Linked DNA regions of Schizosaccharomyces pombe. The main gene of each other region encodes a partner of the protein of the gene in region 2 in a complex. Each region holds a gene or a part of one and is shown on either strand. Other genes may lie near its edges. The genes, in order: lsm3, lsm6, lsm1 and lsm8.

Region 1 (5,356 bases), on a different chromosome or scaffold from region 2:
ACGATCTGGATATTCTTAAGAAAGAAAAGAAACAGCATTACTACGAAACTTTTGTTGTAGGGGTACGGAAATGAAAAGTTCAATCATATGAATAATTAATGTCTATTACAAACCACAAGTTGTATATTACCACCAATATATTTTTTTAGTTCACCAAAACCTAATAAACGTGCCGAATCAATTAATTATTGTGAATCCTTTGTATATTCAGAAACCCGATCAAGACGTTTGGGAAGCGTCTTTCTTAAGACAACATTATGACTTGACTTGATTGTAGAATCAAAAGGAAGATACCAGTCCGCTTTTGGTACATCTTCTGGGTAGACTTTTCTTAATTCCTCAGTCCATATATCAGCTAAATGGAATAAAATCCCATTTGGAAAAGCAAGATTTTCGGTACTAAAAGCAGTTAGTAGTCTGTCCAAATAAACAGAAAAATGATAAAAATTAAGAAATAGCTATTCAACAAGTTTGATGTAAGCAGGAAGTAAAAGCGTTGCAAAACTTTTCTAAAAGTCTCCAACGCAAAAGCAATCTATATAATAAACAAATTCCCACACGCGGGAACGAAAACAACTTACTTAAAAGGACCATCCATCCACATCTGATTATATTCAGCCACTACTTTGTCCAGCAAAGCAGTTTTACTTCTTGTTTGAATATCCCGAAACGCAGCAGCACAAAATCTACGCATTAACAAGTAAAATTTGTCTGTTCGTAAAATATCAATTCCCGTCCATTCACGACCCATAGTTTCCCAAAAAGTAGATTGAAATAATATTCTATTGTCTATCCAGACAATTGGAACCAACGCGGCTAAATTATCTGAGAGTTTCTGTTGGTATAAGGGTTTATCAGCCATCCACATGCCTGCATATTAAAAAACAATTAGATGATTTACATTCATAACCCAAAAAAATTCATACAGTAAAATAAGCCCTTCCAAAGCTTGAGAAAGTCTAACCTTTCAAATTTTTTCTTTTGGCTTAAAAACCGCTGCAACGATTCAAGAGCCTTATCACGAGTTTTTCGATCTTACAGTGTTAGTACATTAATCATTTATATGTAAGAAATTTACCATTAGCTGCAAGTTTCTTAATAAACGGCGACGGAGCCGACATTGTTGGTTTATTGACAAAGTGTTGAAGCAGTTCTTAGCATCGTTCCTTCCATACTGCGTTTTAGTGCACTAATTGGAGAGTTGATAAATGTCCCTTTCTAATATATGAAATAAGGAGTTTCCCAGTCAATATGTATTATTTTTTTTAGAATTGACCGTTTATGTAGATTAATTGATCATAAGGTTAATGTACTACTATGGTTCGCTTACACTTCTATTACAAATGCCGGTTTTCTTAGTCATTCTTATATATAAGTCTTTAACCGTTCCATTGATCAACAAATGTTCTTTTTCTTCTTCCTTGCATGCCTTTGAAAAGGAGATCCTTTGAAAGATCTTTTCCTGTTGGATAGACAATCGGAGGATGAAAAAATTTTAAGAAAGCTTTAAACAAAAAAAGGCAAAAGATAATAATTTAACAAACAGTCGGCAGGGGTTCTTGATTATACAAAAAAAGTGCATGACTGCGAATGCTCAAATCTACTAATGAAGCAAATGAATAAATGTGAGAAAGGGTTTATCTGACAGAGAATGAACTGACTACAACAAGGGGATTTGGGGGATAAAGAAGGAAGCTATATTTTCGAATGAGAAAGGTATTCAAAATATTACTAATGGGTATTGAACTGTAAGCGAAAAAGTCAGTAGAGAGCTCAAACACCGAAATTGGAAACGTAATTATACAAATGTACTAAGAAAAGGATGCAGATATTTCCTTACAAAACTCAACATGTAACCCATCCAAGAAAGTAAAGGAGGCTGCACGGAATCATCAATAGACATAACAAAGTTTTAAGGACATATTAGGAAAGCGGGATTTTTGATGAACATATATCAAGTTCTGATGTAATATGGGAACTACTTATTTATCTTTAACAATCGGTTCGTAGGGGAATCGTTGGTCGCCATAATATAGCTCTCGAATATTTTTAACGTTGGCAAGATACCCTGCAAAATGTGGATTTGTGTAGTAGCGTATGTCTTTCTTTGAAACTGGAAGGGGAGGGCGAGGAGGTGTACGAAAACTTGAAGGATGCAAATGGGCACGTAGCGCCAACGGGCTGAAATATACTGTTGTTATACTGCCGCCTGCATTTTTGATTTGTTGTATAGCTTGAACTGTAGCCTTAGAAACTTCTATGGAAATTGCTGTTTTAAGGAGTCCAGGTTCGTCAGCAGTAAGTTCAACTCCATGTTTAATACCTCTACAGCATCTACTATCGAGGAGGTCTTTCATAGTAATTGTCTTGCTAGCATCCAATCTACCACGATCAATCCATTCCTGAACTCTCCCTAACCCCAGACGCAACGGTTTCTTCAAATGTCCCGTACTGTGACCAACTTTAGGAAATAATTTGGTGATAGGAGTTTGACCACCTTCAAAACCAGGTTTAATTCTCCGTCCACGCCTTTGACCAGATCCTTTATGACCACGTCCAGAGGTTTTTCCTAAACCGCTCGCAGGGCCTCTACCCACTCGCTTCTTTGACTGATAATTTGCACTGTTGTTTAAATCATTCAACATACTGATGCCGCGGAAACTAGCACCAAATCTTGGATAACCAGAGGATCTCAAAAAACCATGAAATGAAGAACTGCGACAAACCCGAGATAAAATATTAAACATTTTCCAATTCAAAAAACGGGTTTCGTCGAGTTTAGATGGTAATAAGTCCAAGGCTGCTGTTTACTATTACAAAAGATTCGGACACACACGAATACGTAAAATTCTATAGCGTCTCATAAAAATATCTTTATTACTATATTCAGCATCGCTGCACTGCGCAATTCGAATTTGTTTCCTCCTTTATTTCTTCCTGACATATGCCAGTGCATAATTGCAGCAACAGCGATCTTGCTTGGTAGATATAATAACCCTTTACTTTATAATGGAATCGGCACAGGCAGTAAGATTTATCAACAGTAACTCGGTAACTAATGTTTGTAGGTCGCGGAACCTCTTGATTTGGTGAGGCTTTCTTTGGATGAAATCGTTTATGTAAAATTACGGGGAGATAGAGAATTAAATGGCCGTCTTCATGTATGAAATTTTTTTAACGTTTCTTGAATATTTTTCTTATTCTGAATTGGTTATACTAACTCGATTGTAGGCCTATGATGAACATTTGGTATGAATCATATTCATAACTCGCATTTGGATGGATTACTTACACGTATTTTAGAATATGGTACTAGGAGATGCTGAAGAAATTGTAACTATTTTTGATGATGAAGAGACCGATAAGGACAAGGCCTTAAAAACGATTCGCAAACATTATGAGATGCTCTTTGTTCGTGGTACGTAGATTCTAAATATTACGCTCGAAAAGTTTGACCATGATTAAGCTTTCCTTTTCGAAACTGTTTTTCCTTTTTCGCCAAATGCTAATGAACTTTAGGTGATTCGGTTATTTTGATTGCTCCACCTCGTAATTAAAGGAACGAATAAAATTACTATACAAAGCTATCTACATATTTTTATCTCATTCTTTTGTTTAAAATTTTTCGCTTTAGAGGTGCTTCTTCGTACAATAGTAACGACTTTTGATTTGAGTATTCTATATTACAGAAAAGTTTGATTTTCCTTTATTCCGTTGGATGGATAGTTTTATCTTTCTTTAGTCACGCACCACTTCTTGTTATTCCTTACATCCTTTTACTTAATAAAAGCAAAAGACTCTTCGAAGTTAACCAACATTCACGAGACGCTGAGCTTTGTCATTGAGACTTTTCATTAATGGTTTTATTCTTTGTACTTGACAGGATAGTAAGCGATTTTTGCTTGCATGGTGGTTGCTCTTGCGATCTAGCAAAATCAGATTGACATTCCTTTAGAGATCAGAGACATAATACCATTCATTGTGCAAATAAAAAAAAACTATCAATTGCTTTCGATTTGGCGGTGTTGTTCACTAGTTCATCTAGTATTTTTTTATTATTAACAAGCGTATCATCATATATAGGCGTAGCGGTAAAATAGAACAAAATAAAATAAATTCTACAAATATTGATTGTATCCAAACACCCAGGACCATTTATTTCATGAAATGCTCGTGTCAATAGTATTCTCATAACGATGCGCACCGCTGAGACTTATTTCAAGGACAACACGAGCGCCAGAGACCTCTCCTCTGCCTACACGCTCCCTTCGTTATGAATTCAGCTAAAGCTACCTCTCTCCTCTTTCAAGGCTTTAGAAAAAATTGCTTGCGATTGAACCGCATTTCTTTCGCTTCAGGTTTGATTAACCGGTTCACCGTCCCAGCTCGAACTTATGCTGACGAAAAGGTATTTTTTTTTCATTCTTCATCTTTTTGATTACTTGTTAACTTTTTTAAGGTGTTCGTTAGAAAAAAGCCGCATGTCAATATTGGTACTATTGGTCATGTTGACCACGGTAAAACGACGTTGACGGCTGCTATTACTAAATGCCTTTCTGATCTTGGTCAAGCTAGTTTTATGGATTATAGTCAAATTGACAAGGCCCCCGAGGAAAAGGCACGTGGTATTACCATTTCATCTGCCCATGTTGAATACGAAACTGCTAATCGTCACTATGCCCATGTGGATTGTCCTGGTCACGCCGATTACATTAAGAATATGATTACTGGTGCTGCTACAATGGATGGCGCTATCATTGTTGTTTCTGCTACCGATGGTCAAATGCCTCAAACTCGTGAACATTTGCTTCTGGCTCGTCAAGTCGGTGTAAAGCAAATTGTTGTATACATCAATAAAGTCGATATGGTCGAGCCTGATATGATCGAGCTTGTCGAAATGGAAATGCGTGAGCTACTCTCCGAATACGGATTTGATGGTGACAATACTCCAATTGTTAGCGGCAGTGCTTTATGTGCCTTAGAGGGTCGTGAGCCTGAGATTGGTCTCAATAGTATTACTAAATTGATGGAAGCTGTTGATAGTTATATTACTCTTCCTGAAAGAAAAACGGATGTCCCTTTCTTGATGGCCATCGAGGACGTTTTTTCAATTTCAGGTCGCGGAACTGTAGTCACTGGCCGTGTCGAGCGCGGTACTTTAAAGAAGGGTGCTGAAATCGAAATCGTCGGTTATGGTAGCCATTTAAAGACTACCGTTACTGGAATTGAAATGTTCAAAAAGCAGCTTGATGCCGCCGTTGCCGGTGACAATTGTGGCCTTTTACTTCGTTCTATCAAGCGAGAGCAATTAAAACGTGGAATGATTGTCGCTCAACCAGGAACCGTTGCTCCTCAT
Region 2 (4,947 bases):
CAGCATCAAGGCATCCTGTTGTATAGAATCAAACATATTTTTTTTCTTTGTTTGTACATATCTTTTATTTATCTGTGCATTTGAAGTGCTCGCGGGCTTTAATTTATTCTTTTCGTTACTTGTCAAGTTTGAATATGCAGCGATTCTAAGCCATCCCCATAACGTATTTATTCTTTTCAACCTATTCTGAGCTTCTAATTCTATTAAACCTTCAATTTATTAATATTGGGTTTTCTGTTCTACTGAAACACTTTTCAACACTATCACTGCATATATTCTGGTTATTTGTTTTTTATGCGCACATCGTGAACAAATTAAATATTCATTTTATTTTTCAACGGTTTTCTTATTAGAACAAGTGAATTTTGCTCACCATATCACCTTTCTTGTTTTTTCGCTTCTTTTGTTTTATCGTTTTGCTGCCGAGGTGAATTACATCTGTTTGCAATCATGGGAAGGAAATGTCGCAAGCTTCTCTTAAAGGGAATACCTATATGCGGCGTTATTTTGTTGATCCTCTGGGGCTATTCCCTTTATAACACATTGAGATTTATGGTACCAGGGAAAGCGACTGAACCTTTTACCTTAAGTTTATCGGATGTATCAGATGATACTAGTGCTCCAGGAGAAATGGAAAAAATACCAAGAGTGATTCACCAGCTTTGGAAGGATGAAAATATTCCAGAGAGATGGTCTAATACTGTTAACTCTTGCAGGCGCCAACATCCTGATGAAAACGGCTGGCAGTTCATTTTATGGACAGATGAAAAAATTATGTCTTTTATGAACGAAAATTATTCCTGGTTTATGCCTGTTTTCCACAGCTATCCTTATAATATCCAGAAATTTGATGCTGCACGTTACTTTATTCTCTATCATTACGGCGGCGTATACATGGATTTGGATATTGGGTGTAAAAAACCCATGGATCCTCTTCTAAGCAAAGCTACTTTTATATTGCCTTCGACGGAACCCATTGGGTATAGCAATGATTGGTTTGCTGCTACACCAAAGCATCCATTTCTGTATCAGGCGATACATAACTTGTCAAAGTTTAACCACCGTTATTTCACTAAATATCCCACGGTGTTTCTCAGTGCAGGACCTTTATTCCTATCTTATCAATTTTGTAAATACTTACTTACGCCGCATGAACCAGTGCGCGTCTTACCTGCTTTACTTTATGGAAACGGACCTAATTCATTTTTTTCACATGTTACTGGTGATAGCTGGCATGGCACTGATGCTAAAGTATTTATTTGGATAGACCGAAATTCAAAATCTGTCTTATTTTTTGCTTTTTTGGCTGCGTTCGCTATCCTTTTCTTATGTCTAAGAGTTGTCTTTAAACGGAGAAGGAAACGTGGAATTGCGGCTTCTCACTCACAAATACAGGAGCTATATCCCTAGTCCCTTCGTTTCTATAGATGGGCTAAATGGGTGATTTGGCTATTGAAGAAATTCAAAGGTAAAAGAAGTGTATATTATAGTTTCATTTGATGACAACTTGAAAAAAAAAAATGATGCCAAAGTCATCGTCTCTGTGTTTGTTTAACGAAAACGGTTTTTTTTAAAGGGCTATAAATTACATTTACTTCTAAATGATACATCAATATCTACAAATATATATCCTTCATTGAACTCTGGCTCTTCTTTTCAACATTAGCATAAGAACTTATTATGTATACACGTGTTTGTATTTTTTAACGATAATTTGTATTTTATGCAAATTACTTTAACCAATCTTGTACCATAATCGTATATCGTATTGAAGGGCTAGAAATCGTCTCTAATCATCTAAAGCAGAAACATATAAGACTGTTGGACGGTAGTTAGGAAATCAAAGCACTTTAATATAAATACCATACCATTGTTTCCACGAATAAATGCATCTCCATAAACATTCGTCTTCTTGCCATTAACGTATTCTTCTGTGCGTTCAAGGGCCAAGTTCATATAACCATCAAGACAACTGAGGATTCCTAAAAAACAGGTTTAGTATTAACAAACCCTAAATAACGGAAAAAAAGTTAAAGCGATAGAAACAAATTGCAAACTTGCATTGTCTCCGACGCAATTCATGTTAAATACCTTTATAGTCGACACCAGAACTTAACCGGATAAGAACTTTTTTGCCGATGACCTTATTCAAAAACTCATTAGGAGAAGAATCCATTATCTTCCAGTTGGTTTAGAGAATTCAGCCTTTGAAGGGTTTTCTGTGAGTCGTAAATTGAAGTAGACACCAACTACATTGGTAACCTCAGTTCAGGGTGCTCTTGCATATAATGAAGAATAGCATTATGTGCAAAAATGTATACCGTGCAAGACTACACTACTTTAATATACACTTCGTTGCGTATCACTATATGTGATATGTTGGAATATCAGTTGAGATCTGGTTATTAATAATTATGGGTAACTATCCGCTAACTAAATAAATTTTATTAAAAACACCCTTTAGAACAATTATAAATAGAGGTACAGCTGAATCTCGTTCCTCAGTTTAGTTAAAGCTATATTAATGATAGGTAACAATAGATCGTACATAAAATATTATATATGTCCTCGGTTGCTACTTGTATTACCTGCTTTTTGCAATATTGCAATATAATAGATCATAAAGCTCATTGCAGTTCTACACATCGTTAAAATTAAATAACAAACTGCGTAGTTAGTATTTATGTGTGTTAAAGTATTGTGACACGTTCTGCTAACACTTTCAAGTTTACTACTTGCATTGAACATTGCTTGTCTTCTCTAAATTATTTGTACATAATAATCCATCCGAGCTTTGTGCTTTACATTAAGAGCAGCTTCACTACTTCTTCTTTTAAAACTTTGCTTCGATGGTTGCTAAACAAGAATCGGTGGTTGCACCTCAAGTTGATGTGTCAAAATGGAGTGGGAAGGAATTGGAGTTGGGCAAAAAGGTTAATGAATACGCCAAGTCATTAGCTACGTTTAAATATCCTTTTTTTATTCCACCTCCCTATCCTCCTGCTAAGCCAAATATGGCCTTGTCTACCCAAGTTAATAAGATGAAGCAAACTGCAAACGAGGCATTTAAACGCAAAAAGTATGAGGAGGCAAAAAAGTTATATGGATTAGCATTACAACTCGCTTTGAATCGCTGTACTTGGGAACCGTCGATTCTTACGCGTGAAGAAGCAAGTGTTATGTTGTGTAATCGGGCGGCTGCTGAGATTGCCCTTTCCCAATTCCCCGAAGCTTTAGCAGATGCAAATGCTGCTTTGAAAATTCGAAATAATTATGGAAAGTGTTATTATAGGAAAGCAAAGGCTTTGGAGGCAATGCATCGCATAGAAGAGGCTAAACAGGTTGTACGAGACGGTTTAATTTTGGCAGAGCCAGTTACGAGAAACGAGTTGGTGGCTTTATGGGCAAGTTATACTGAAAAAGATTAAAACCAACTGTATCATGGTTTCAAATGATCATTGGATTTGCACGCTCCTTTTATTTCCTTTCTTTGTGTTGTTTCATATTACCATAAACACTTACGGCCACATAATTAATCCATTTCAAAATTAATACTAACTTGATATTATTGCCAATTCATTTAATGCTCAGGTGATTGTAGCAATTACTGTATACAAAAGACCATCCCCTAGCACATCATAAATACGGTGGTTTTGAACATGAATCTAAGTTTCGATTGTCATTTGTTACCCTATAGTCAAACAACAATGTTATAACTTTCCAAAGGATTTATTGAGTAAAACGGTAACTTTTTTGCTTGAAAGTTAGTTACCATCTAAGTCACCCTTCTTTGCCTTATAGCAAAAGTATTATACAATGCAAAATTTTATTATTTTCTGTACTTCCACTATAATAAAAAAACACCTTTAATCCCGTATTCCCATAAGAAGTTTCTGAAAATTTGTTGGTACTTTATTTGGATATCTCAATGTCGCTTTGACGTCCAAAACAATTATAAGCAGTGGAGATATCGAACATCACGAACTTCAGTAGTTGTTTCTTCTATATATACCGTCCTTCTTTTTTTTTAAAAAAACACACACACATTTTTTTGAAAATAAACAACGCTGTACTTTTCTCTAATTTCTAGCGCGTCCACGTCGAGGTTTAGGGAACTCTAGGGGAATTTTTAATACTGCACGCTTATGATTTTTAGCATCAGTTTTGTTAAGACCTAAAGCCATTCTTTGAGTTTCGGTGTAAGCCATAATTCGACAACCCACCGTTCTAAAAAGCTCATTAGCCTTCATGGTCTTGACATTCAAGTCATTTGCCAAGGTAAGAACATCAGTTGAGTAATTATCAACGATTAAGCACAATACCAGAATATAACATATGATTTTATCAACTTCTCGAGATGATACTTGGACGCTACCAATACCGGTGGTTTGAGTAAAACGTTTAATCAACCCATCAATAAGAATCTCTGGTGGATCAGCCAATTTTTTACGTAAAGTTTCACGGTTGCCCACAGAACGACGAGAAAACAAAAAAGCTTGCAAAAGAGAAATGTAATACAAAATTCTCGCCCGCTTCTGGTCAACCTCCTCAATGGAAAGTAATCGCTGGAAGCGTTCATTAATAAACAAGGAGTGACGGTACGGCAATAATTTGGCCCAATTGCGCTCGTCAGGGTTTTCTAACAGAGGCTTAATGTAAATAGCTGAAAACTCTTCTTTGGGAATAATGTCCTCCAATTTGTATGCATCTTCAATGGATTCAGCACCGACATTGACAGGAGGAATAGGGCGATCTTGCGCTTGAGCAGCAGCGATATCTTCTTGCGTTGGAAGTGCTTCAGTAGCTTTTTGAACATTACTAACCAATTGATCCTTGACATCTCCCAAAGTTTCAGCTTTGACACGATTGGCGGACTCTTCCATAATAGCTTTTTGACTTTTTCTTGTACCAAATGCCAAACCCAAGTTGGCACGCTGTTCCATAACA
Region 3 (5,132 bases), on a different chromosome or scaffold from region 2:
GATTACACAAAATATTCACATCCCCAACGAGAATGATTTTTCGATTTCCTTCCTTTATCAATCTTTCAATTCTTTCTCGTAAGGCTTTATAAAAGGCCCGTCGATATTCTAGTCTATTTTCTCCAGAGTTTACTGGACAGTAAACACCGATTAGGATGAACATCTGAAAATCTAATAATATACACCTTCCTTCACTATCAATCCAATTAGCAGTTTTTCTGTCAATGTCTTTTGGGAAAAATCCTATCTTTTCATGCTCCGGTGCTTCTGAATATGAATATTTTTGTCCTCGTACTGGCAGGATGCCAGTAATTCCCTCTTCTGCTTTCACTGGAATAGCAACATCTTTTTTTACATAAAATCCAACCCCACTATAGCCTTTTCTGATCTTAGGAAATGTAAAATAACTGTCGAATCCCTCAACAACTGCATATTGTTGAGGAAAGCTGTCTTTCTGCATTTTCAATTCTTGAACACATATTACATCAGCCTGTAACTCTTGAAATATCTCTTTGTAGGAATTTTTTTTATTCCATGGAAAATAATTGAATGGATTCTGTATACCGTTCACATTCCAACTTAGAATTCGCATTCTTATAATTTTTACGTAGAGAAAGTGTGCGAAGGTAAAGGCGACAGACTTTTGAATTTACAATTGTTGACATAAGTTAATCTGATGGAAAATAAAATGCATTTGTTTAATTCGAGAATGAACTTTTTCTTTTCTTTTCGACCTTCTCCCTATTGAATGTTGATTTTCAAAAAAATTCTAGATTGACTAATATTGAGTTACAACTGTAAACAATCTAATGATTCTTTCTAAATATATGTCATTAAACGAGTATACATGTTGTGCTAGAAAGACATTATCTCAAACTGCTGTTTAAAAAAGCTATGTTTGGATACAAGGATGTAAATTGGGGTATTAACAGGTATCCAAAAAATCCATTAAAAAATAAAGAAGGTTTAGTTTTTCGTGTAAAAAAATATGATTAGCTCTCCATGTAAGTTAGGACTATTGACAATCTTCATATACATTTAACCAACAGTAATTACGAAGAATCATTAAGTTGAAGAGATTCTTCTGAGTCGGATTCAGAGCTATCTTCAATTGGGTTTCCCGTAGCATCTGTAAGATGAATGGTTTCTATTTGAGGAGATTCTGCGTTTGCGTCTAATGTATCATTCACTTCTTCGAGGTCCTCCACATCATCAATATTTTGCTCAACTTCATTTTGTGCTATATCCTCCGCAATTCGTTCTTCTTCTAATTCGTCTTTTTCTTCATCTAGAGGAGTAGTGTCATGCGCGTCTATTTTGGCTTTCTTTCTGTTATCAACATCTGATACGTTAGGGAGTTTCAATCGTTTTTCTTTCAAGGCAAGCTCATATGCTTTAATAGTTAGAAGAAGTACAGAGTAAGAAACATACCTTCGAGATGTTTTTTTAACGTTTTAGAGAATTCTGGATACTCAATTTCATCGAGCGCATTCAAAACGTCTTGAGGCATAAGAATTTTTCTGTTATTATTCGTAGCAATTTCCCCAGAACTAAGTAACGTTAGTCTTTATTCATTCATATACAAAGTGTTTCCAGAAGAAAATAAAATTGGCAATTATATAATAAATTCTTTCATCATACAAGCCCTTCAATATGGTTATATAGTTATATAGATTACATACGCGGATGTTAGAAAACTAACAAAAAGAGTTGCTGAATTGATCATAGCCTTGAGAGCTTCTTTTTGTACAAGACTCTTTTCAGGTAAGACACCTTTGACTAATCGCATAATGATCGATCGAGGAAGCGCCAGATCATCCAATTCGGAAGTTTCTTTCGATTTATCTTGATTCATATTGATTTTCCAGCCGCTAGATCTTTTACAAACGCTGTATACAAGTCTTTTATAAATCCAATCCAAATATCATCCTATGGTCACCAAACGATAATCACAGAGAAAGGCGGTTGCTTCTTTTTAGCTAATTAATGTATAATAAATTCACTGAGTCGCCTATTTCTGTCAATTTTCACTAAACACTATCTGTGCGTTATGAGCAGAATCCGAGAGAGCCTTAGAGTTGAAACATTTGTAGAAATGCTATCAAATTTCTTAAAACTAAATAGTTGTACTGTTTTGTTTATATTAAATGAGTAAAAAAAAAAGTTTTTTAGCGTTGTTAGAAATAAATAAAGCTTTTTGATAACCATACAATACATTATTAAAGGCTCGATTTTTGATTGTAATTAATAGATAAAAACAACTAAATTTATTATCTTTTTTCAGAACACTCCAAAAACGTTCAATGAACGTTCTAAGAGAATAATAGGCAATCTCTTCTCAGTCGAAATAGCTCAGAATAGGGATATTACAAATGGGATTGGCAACATTTTTACAAGTTCGATTTTGGAATTGATAAAAATCATCAAATTATTTATTTCTGTTCTTCGCAAAATGTTGAGCCTTTCAATGAACTAATCCGCTTATGATGCTGAAAAATTGTTAGGTAGCTTGAGTATAATTAGATTCCCTTTTTACAATCTGTGATCAAAAATATACATGTTTTTGTTCTTTAATTTTTGTGAAGACCGACTTCCCTTTATAACTAGAAAGTCAGATTACAACATTCAATGATGGGCAAGTTTAGAAATGGAAAAACCAAATAATTTAATTTACAATTAGCAAAAAAACATAACAAACGAATAACATTTAAACTTCAGAAGCACTTTTAGGGTTAAACAGGGAGAATTTAGGATTCCAGATTTGACGACCTCAGAGCACTTGCTTCTAACCATCTCCTCGAACTCGTTTTTTAAGGAAAACACTCAAATAAAGTCATCAGGCGTTTATAAAAGAAATAGAAAGTTAAATCTAAATTAAATTATTAGTTTATGCTACATCCAAATAATAGCTGAATGAATCAAGCTACACAGATTATCCCATTCACAACTTCTGGGTCACTTGTTGACTACGTAGACAGTACGGTGTTTTTTCCAATGTTTTCCTTGATCTAACTTTACCTTTTAGGAAAAGTGATTGTTGTTTTACGAGATGGAAAAAAACTGATTGGAATTTTAAGGTCCTTTGATCAATTTGGTATGGTTTGCGTGAATAGGCGCATAAGTGAGTTTACTAACTGTGTAGCAAATTTAATGTTGCAATACACGATTGAGAGGATCTATGTGGATGATATGTACGGGGACATAGACAGAGGTGTGTATATTGTTCGGGGCGAGAACGTCGTGCTTTTAGGTGAATTGGTAAGTTTCGTTTGTAACATAAAATATTCGAGCATCTTTATAAATTTCTTTGAACGTGGGCTAAATATTTCGAAAAGGATTTGGATAAGGAGTATGATGCAGTCAAACAATTGCGACGTATGCCTGCTGAAGAACTGTATCCTTTGGCGAAGCTTCATGAAGAAGAGAAGAAGAAAAATATACGTGAGAAGGGCAAGTACCTTCATTCTGTAGGCTTTAGTGTTGACGGCGGACATGATGATTTGTATTAGACAACGGTTGAACAAATTTATCACAATATTGCTATACCGTTTGTTTACAGTCACGATAGAAAGCTATCTCGACCGCTGTTTATTCCCCTTTTAAATGGATGTAATGTAATTTTTAAGACATGAATCGTCATAATCCCATTACCGTTCGTTCAAAGTTTAGTAATCATTGTGCATCTTTTAAACATGCAGTTTTTATCTTTGTCTTTTTTTTGGGGTCCGTTAATACCAGAGATTCGTCAAAGTTCTGCTTAGAAATTTTGAAAGTAGAGGATACGCGGTCAACCGCTGGGTCAATATCAGATGCTGGCCAAATCCATTCTAGTAAAACCATTACAAGATAATCTATAGCTATGAGTAAACAAAATAGCTTACCAGCCCATTGCCCACATCCGTAATAAAGCTTTAGACGGTCTATTAGTCTAAGATTATTCTCTGAACATATACTGTCGTAAACCTTTTCTGTCCTTTCCGCGACATCTATCCACGAGTACATTTGCTTAACCTCCTCATGGAAAGTTTCGGTTTTGATTTTATGGTCAAGATAATCAGTAATAACACTCGAAAGTGTATCAGCTAAATCATCCTCTTCAGGACGGGCGAATCGTGTCATGTGGGAAGGCAAGACTTCAGGAACACCTCCCACTTTTGTAGAAATCACATAAAGACCACAGCTTGCGGCTTCAACTAAAACAGTGCCGAAAGCTTCGGTCAAACTAGGATGTAAATAAATATGACCCCTGACCATCACATCACGAACTTGATCATGTCTTACAGAACCAAGCATTTCAACGCGATCCTGTAACATATACTTTTCTCGCATTTGTTCCAAATCGATTGACTTGGGTCCGTCGCCAGCAATAACAAATCGTACTTTAGGGTGTTGCGCACAAATTCTGGGTATAACTGCGATTAAAAGATCAATGCCTTTGTTATAGTAAAGCCTTGAGATTACTACTATGGTTACTAAAAATGTTAGATTTTTTCCTTAATAAACGAAAAAACTCACAGAAATCTTTTGAAGCTTTAGATGGGTCTGGCTGAAAGTTTTCCGCTACTAAGGCATTGGGAATCACGGATACTCTTTTTGGATTTAGAACTGCACGAAGCACCGTATTTTCGCGGCTTCTTAGTTAATAATTTAAATACTTGCTCATGAGATACTTACCAAGTGTGAGAGACACAAATAACATGATTTACATCGCTCATCGTAAATTTTAATAACTTATTTGTAACGATGCTGCCAGCATCTGCAAAACCAAACAAAGAGTGGTCGGTAAAACAAGTTTTCAAGCCCATTGTACGAGCATGCAGAATAGCATCATGGCATAGAAAGGATAAACTGCCATGACCGTGGACTATTTCGATATTTTCTCTAATGACTATATTGCGGAAAATTGGAAAAAAGGAAAAAAAGGAAGGAAATGTTGTTTCACGATACACAGTCTGCATTGTTTAGTTTCAACGCTATGCGCGATCAAAATTTCAATTAAAAACTTACATGTAACGGCACGTAGTAAACGGTTAGCCCATTAGTTAAGTATCTGACGCCAACTCGATCCTTATAAGCATGTGTGATAACTAATATAATGCATGTTAGAGCATGTACAAGTTGACATTATCATA
Region 4 (4,480 bases), on a different chromosome or scaffold from region 2:
TTATGCAATCCTCCAGCTCCTCTTCGGGATACTGAAACCACCTCGTAACCCTTAGCAATGGCTAATTTGCAAATATTATGCCCTAAAAAGCCTGAACCACCTAAAACAACAATTTTCATACTTAAAACGAGGGAGAAAGTAAAAATAAAATTATTTAAAGAATTTAAATCTTCAAATTAGACAATTTGATATAGGCCAGCCCAAATTATTATAAGGATTAGAACCCCAGAATTGTTAATGTAAGCTAACACCTCAAAGTTTCGTGATGCTTATTATTAATCTTAATAATTGAGAAACACAAAAATGCTGTCTCAAAATATTTTTAAAATTTCCTTTTACGAACAATGTTCAAAAAACCCTTTCAACCTGAGTAGTTAGTAAATCGTAGTTGAAGAGAATGAGGTAATGTGCTAGCTCAATAAGGAAGACCAAGAGATGGAAAGAGGTAATTAATTATCTTCTATTAGACTTATTAATTTATAAAAATATGTACATCATTTAATAAGTATGCAAAATAACCATCATTCATAATTGGAGTATTAGTAAAAGTTTGTCTTAAATGAGAGCGCTAAAAAAAATTAAAAATAAAAATGCTTTGATAATTTAGTCTTTAATTTTCTATACTTTATAAGCCATTGATTAATTTCTTAATTATCTTTGGATTTTAAATTCGTAATAATAAGATCTCAAATTCAAATACTTCATAAACCCATTTACAAATATGTTAGATTAATAACAAATTCAATTTTAAGCTAACAATAGAGCTTATGAATCATAATATTTATTCCGATAACCCTGAAGACACAATTTCGAGTTTTATGAAGTGTCTGAGAAGCCAGTTGATTGCTATTCTGTTCATACAGAAAATTTCGTGATTCATAGCAAGAGGAAAGAAAAAATCTCAAATTTTTTTTATTTTTTTTTAATTAATATTATTACATATTTAGTTGATCGATCAAGAAATCGTTGAGCGAAAGTATTAAATTCATATATTCTAAAACAATACACTGTGGTTTAATTTTATAAATTTAAAATAACTGATCGTTACGAGATCTATTAGAATTTTAAGTCTTCTTATTATTGATATCTACACCTTTTTTGTTTTGAAAATATATAAATCTTATTTTTTTTCTTTCATTCTAATCAACATCCTTTTTTTTTTTTTGAAATTGTTTTAAATCAAATGTGTATTTCATTATATTGTGACTGATAAAAATATGTTTGCGAAAGCAACATTTGAACAGATTGAGTAAATAGGCTATGATATAGTAAATCTTTAAATTTAATTTAATTCTCAATACCAAATAAATATTTCTTCAAAAAGGGTTACAAATAAATTAGCTATACTGTGGAGTATATGATATATCGATCCCCCTGATGTAACAAATATAACATATAACAATATGTGTTTAAGTATGAGTATATTCAGAATACATTGGAAATAACGAAAATCCAAATGAAACATTAAGCATAAATTTCTGATTTCTAACTTGCCCTTTTTATTTTATTTTATTCATCATAGTTGTCTACTATTCCAACACAAGTTATGATGTTAATGAGTTGCTAGAATGTTTATTTGCGAGACAGTAGTATAAATATCCTTTCGTAGCTGCTGTACGTTATAACGAACAACTTAACTTTCTTAAATTTTTCTCAATAAATACTTAAATTTACATTGAAGAATATAGCTGAAAATAAATAAACTCACGATGGCAATTTCTCAGCCTCTTTAAGTAGATTTGCTTTTATAGTCACTATGATCTACTGGTTTAGTTCTGTGTGCTGCTTCGTCAAAGTTGTAAGTCTTCGCTTAATTATTAGCGAAACTTTATTTTATCAGATAGGGATAATATCCAAGAAAATTGTACTACCAAGCTGCTTTGAGAAGATAATACAAGTACTGAGATGAGTGTAAAAAAGTGCCAAGGAAAACGAGCTGCGCCCTTTAACTTCATCTGTCTATATTCTAAATGCCACCTTTAAAACAAAAATCTAACTTGTCTTATAATGTAAAAACCCTAAAGCTTCGCACTTATGGTGACACATTTAGTACAAATTCTTTCTATTCCATACGTTCTTTGCTGAATAAAGAGCGAAGACCGTCCCCTTTATATTCGAGCCGTCATTAATTTTTCATTCAAAAACTAAGATAGTAAGGCACATCGATAACAATCTAAAGTTGTGAAAAAATTCTTATAAAACGGAATTCTTAAATACTTATTTCTTCCAAATTATTTAAGCAAACCTTCAAAAGAAGAATTATCCTTCAATGATTTAAACTCAACAACTATCAAATGAAGTAATTCAAGAATATAACTGTAGTCAAATATATACATCTATATTCCCCACGTCCATAAGATTTGTATATTTGTTTACAACGGGTATTTTTAGTTAGAAGAACGGTTGCTTGTAATGATGAGGAAGGATTCGTGAGCCGGATATAGCTGGAATAATGTTCAATACCTTTTCCTTTAATAGATCTATTTTACAAAATAAATTTCGTTGATTAATAAAACAAAAGATCATTTAAAAATCGTGCGCTTCACAAATTACTTTAATTTTCTTTTGACACAAGATTGTGTTCCTTTCCAAACTAAAAATATAATTGGGTTACTTCTTATATTGATAGCAAAGTTAGCTTCAAAATTTTAAGACAAAAAGGTGTTTTCAATTTGATTAGTTTATTAAAATTCTTGATTTTTTTGTTTTTGCTGTATGTTTTATAAAAAGTATCATGTCACTTGAAATACATGCTGTAAGACTACCTACTTTTGTTTAGCACTACCATACTGTAATACAACTAATACTTAAATCACTTTATCATGAGTCTTGCTGATTTTATGGAACGTAAGTGTCAAATTTTCAATAGAGAATGAAGTGACTAATATAGATGTTCGTTAGAAAGGGTTCAAGTCATTACAAACGATGGTCGCGTTGTGCTAGGTTCCCTGAAGGGATTCGATCACACGACCAATCTTATACTTTCAGACTCATTTGAAAGAATTATTAGCATGGATCAAGACATGGAAACAATTCCTTTAGGCGTTTATTTATTACGTGGAGAAAATGTGTAAGTGGACGCAGAGCCTTGTACTGGCGGTACGTAAATCAATAATCTAATAGTTATTTTTAGAGCAATGGTTGGATTAGTGAATGAGGAATTAGATTCAGAAATAGAATGGACCAAAATTCGAGGTGAAGCAATACCTGACGTTGTGCATTAATACAAAAACCGGACGTTAAACTTCAAATGAGAACAAACGTTTAAGGCTACATAGGATTTGGGTTAATGATTTTTTTGTTATATTTCCTCTTTGTGCGGGCGAATCCTTTGCAAATTTTGTTAAGCTTTCCACGATATATTCATACCTTGCAGCATGTCTTTTATCAGGAAGCTATTAGCTCGTAGAAAGAAGTGAAAATTCTTTCTTTATTTTTTTAAAAAAATATGACTGAGGTTGTAGATTAATTCTGATGACAAAGAGTTGACACTTGAACGAAAATACTTAAAAAAATGGTTTAAAATACCGAGTTCGAGGACATCGGTTCTTTCAGAATTTAAAAAATTCTTGGTTTCTTGTTAAATTTGTGGATCACAAACTCATTTTTCTTCTTATTTTGTGGGTTTCATCTTTCTTAAATGATTCTTGGGAACGTTAACATACCTTTGTTTCCTTAATTTGATTTATGCACTTTGATTTTGAAATTTGTGGTCAACTTGTTTAAAGACTTTATATTTATCATTGATTTTTGTTATTATATGGAAAAAAACATCACAATTTATATCATTTACTGTGCATAACATTCTTCATTTTTGCTGTCACGCTTAATGTTTACACTGGAAAATTTCTCTACCTTGAGAAATATTTCAGCATCATGGTCCAATTTACAAAGATCATTTGAGTTAAACAAAAAAAATGATTTATTATATTTGCTGCTCATATTTTTTTTTTAGTGATTTTTTATTTTGGCATCGTTTTGTGAACTTACTTTCCAAGCTTTGGGATTATCAAGAAAAAATTTTTGTTGAAAGAAGAGCAGAAAAACTGTTTGATAATTAAATGCCTTTGCAATTTCATTTTCTCAATTTAGCAAAATAAACTGAAATTTCTGCAGCAGTGACTTTAGGTTACATTGTAACCTACAGTTTACAACGACCTTTGTGCTTACAGCAACTTTTTTTCAATTAATTTTTTACAGCCATACAAAACGGACTTGATTCCTTTATTTTTAGTTTATTAAAGCCGTTAAATATGAATTTGGTTCTCCCTGGACAGGTGGTCGCGAGAGGGGCTCCTAACGGTGAAGGAACGGTAAAGAGAGGAGATTATATTATTTCCACACGAACTGGCATCTTTGATCCAGAGAAAAATTCTGTAACGTACCCAAGAAAAGTTGAAGAGACAGCCGTTTTACCTAATGTCGGATCTATTGTTTTAGCTCGCGTCAGCAGGATCAATGCTCGTCAAGCAACTGTAAA

Evidence for each region.
Region 1: lsm6 (region 2) and lsm3 share a complex: the UniProt entries of both Schizosaccharomyces pombe proteins name them as parts of the heptameric LSM2-LSM8 complex.
Region 3: lsm6 (region 2) and lsm1 share a complex: the UniProt entries of both Schizosaccharomyces pombe proteins name them as parts of the heptameric LSM1-LSM7 complex.
Region 4: lsm6 (region 2) and lsm8 share a complex: the UniProt entries of both Schizosaccharomyces pombe proteins name them as parts of the heptameric LSM2-LSM8 complex.

What each region holds. Positions count from the first base shown.
Region 1 is NC_003423.3:1,820,327-1,825,682, reverse strand, and holds lsm3 (U6 snRNP-associated protein Lsm3), read left to right. Parts: upstream 1-2,954; 5' UTR 2,955-3,009; coding exon 3,010-3,027; exon of another isoform or gene 3,028-3,068; coding exon 3,069-3,161; exon of another isoform or gene 3,162-3,168; intron 3,169-3,187; exon of another isoform or gene 3,188-3,231; coding exon 3,232-3,249; exon of another isoform or gene 3,250-3,303; coding exon 3,304-3,418; exon of another isoform or gene 3,419-3,475; intron 3,476-3,519; coding exon 3,520-3,557; 3' UTR 3,558-4,223; downstream 4,224-5,356. Other genes in the region: Nop52 family nucleolar protein, read right to left, coding at 186-399, 582-870, 927-1,034, 1,079-1,121; mrpl10 (mitochondrial 54S ribosomal protein uL15m), read right to left, coding at 1,983-2,747; translation elongation factor EF-Tu Tuf1, read left to right, coding at 4,274-4,408, 4,460-5,356. UniProt on the Schizosaccharomyces pombe protein: Component of LSm protein complexes, which are involved in RNA processing and may function in a chaperone-like manner. Component of the cytoplasmic LSM1-LSM7 complex which is involved in mRNA degradation by activating the decapping step.
Region 2 is NC_003424.3:3,921,904-3,926,850, forward strand, and holds lsm6 (U6 snRNP-associated protein Lsm6), read right to left. Parts: upstream 2,224-4,947; 5' UTR 2,177-2,223; coding exon 2,092-2,176; intron 1,983-2,091; coding exon 1,869-1,982; intron 1,819-1,868; coding exon 1,790-1,818; 3' UTR 1,683-1,789; downstream 1-1,682. Other genes in the region: inositol phosphorylceramide mannosyltransferase activity Imt1, read left to right, coding at 451-1,410; sec67 (translocation subcomplex subunit Sec72), read left to right, coding at 2,850-3,428; DNA-directed RNA polymerase I complex subunit Rpa49, read right to left, coding at 4,080-4,947. UniProt on the Schizosaccharomyces pombe protein: Component of LSm protein complexes, which are involved in RNA processing and may function in a chaperone-like manner. Component of the cytoplasmic LSM1-LSM7 complex which is involved in mRNA degradation by activating the decapping step.
Region 3 is NC_003423.3:1,282,866-1,287,997, reverse strand, and holds lsm1 (mRNA-decapping complex subunit Lsm1), read left to right. Parts: upstream 1-2,781; 5' UTR 2,782-2,913; coding exon 2,914-2,977; intron 2,978-3,025; coding exon 3,026-3,094; intron 3,095-3,142; coding exon 3,143-3,258; intron 3,259-3,335; coding exon 3,336-3,509; 3' UTR 3,510-3,660; downstream 3,661-5,132. Other genes in the region: AP-endonuclease Apn2, read right to left, coding at 1-592; DNA polymerase epsilon subunit Dpb4, read right to left, coding at 1,053-1,393, 1,432-1,550, 1,683-1,855; pig-A family phosphatidylinositol N-acetylglucosaminyltransferase subunit Gpi3, read right to left, coding at 3,673-4,472, 4,516-4,631, 4,675-4,952, 5,008-5,087. UniProt on the Schizosaccharomyces pombe protein: Component of the cytoplasmic LSM1-LSM7 complex which is involved in mRNA degradation by activating the decapping step. The LSM1-LSM7 complex loads onto the 3'-end of single stranded RNA.
Region 4 is NC_003421.2:2,275,080-2,279,559, forward strand, and holds lsm8 (U6 snRNP-associated protein Lsm8), read left to right. Parts: upstream 1-2,798; 5' UTR 2,799-2,822; coding exon 2,823-2,847; intron 2,848-2,901; coding exon 2,902-3,070; intron 3,071-3,133; coding exon 3,134-3,224; downstream 3,225-4,480. Other genes in the region: ubiquinone biosynthesis protein Coq11, read right to left, coding at 1-119; exosome subunit Csl4, read left to right, coding at 4,254-4,480. UniProt on the Schizosaccharomyces pombe protein: Component of the nuclear LSM2-LSM8 complex, which is involved in spliceosome assembly. The LSM2-LSM8 complex plays a role in the biogenesis of the spliceosomal U4/U6-U5 tri-snRNP complex by accelerating prp24-mediated annealing of U4/U6 di-snRNA.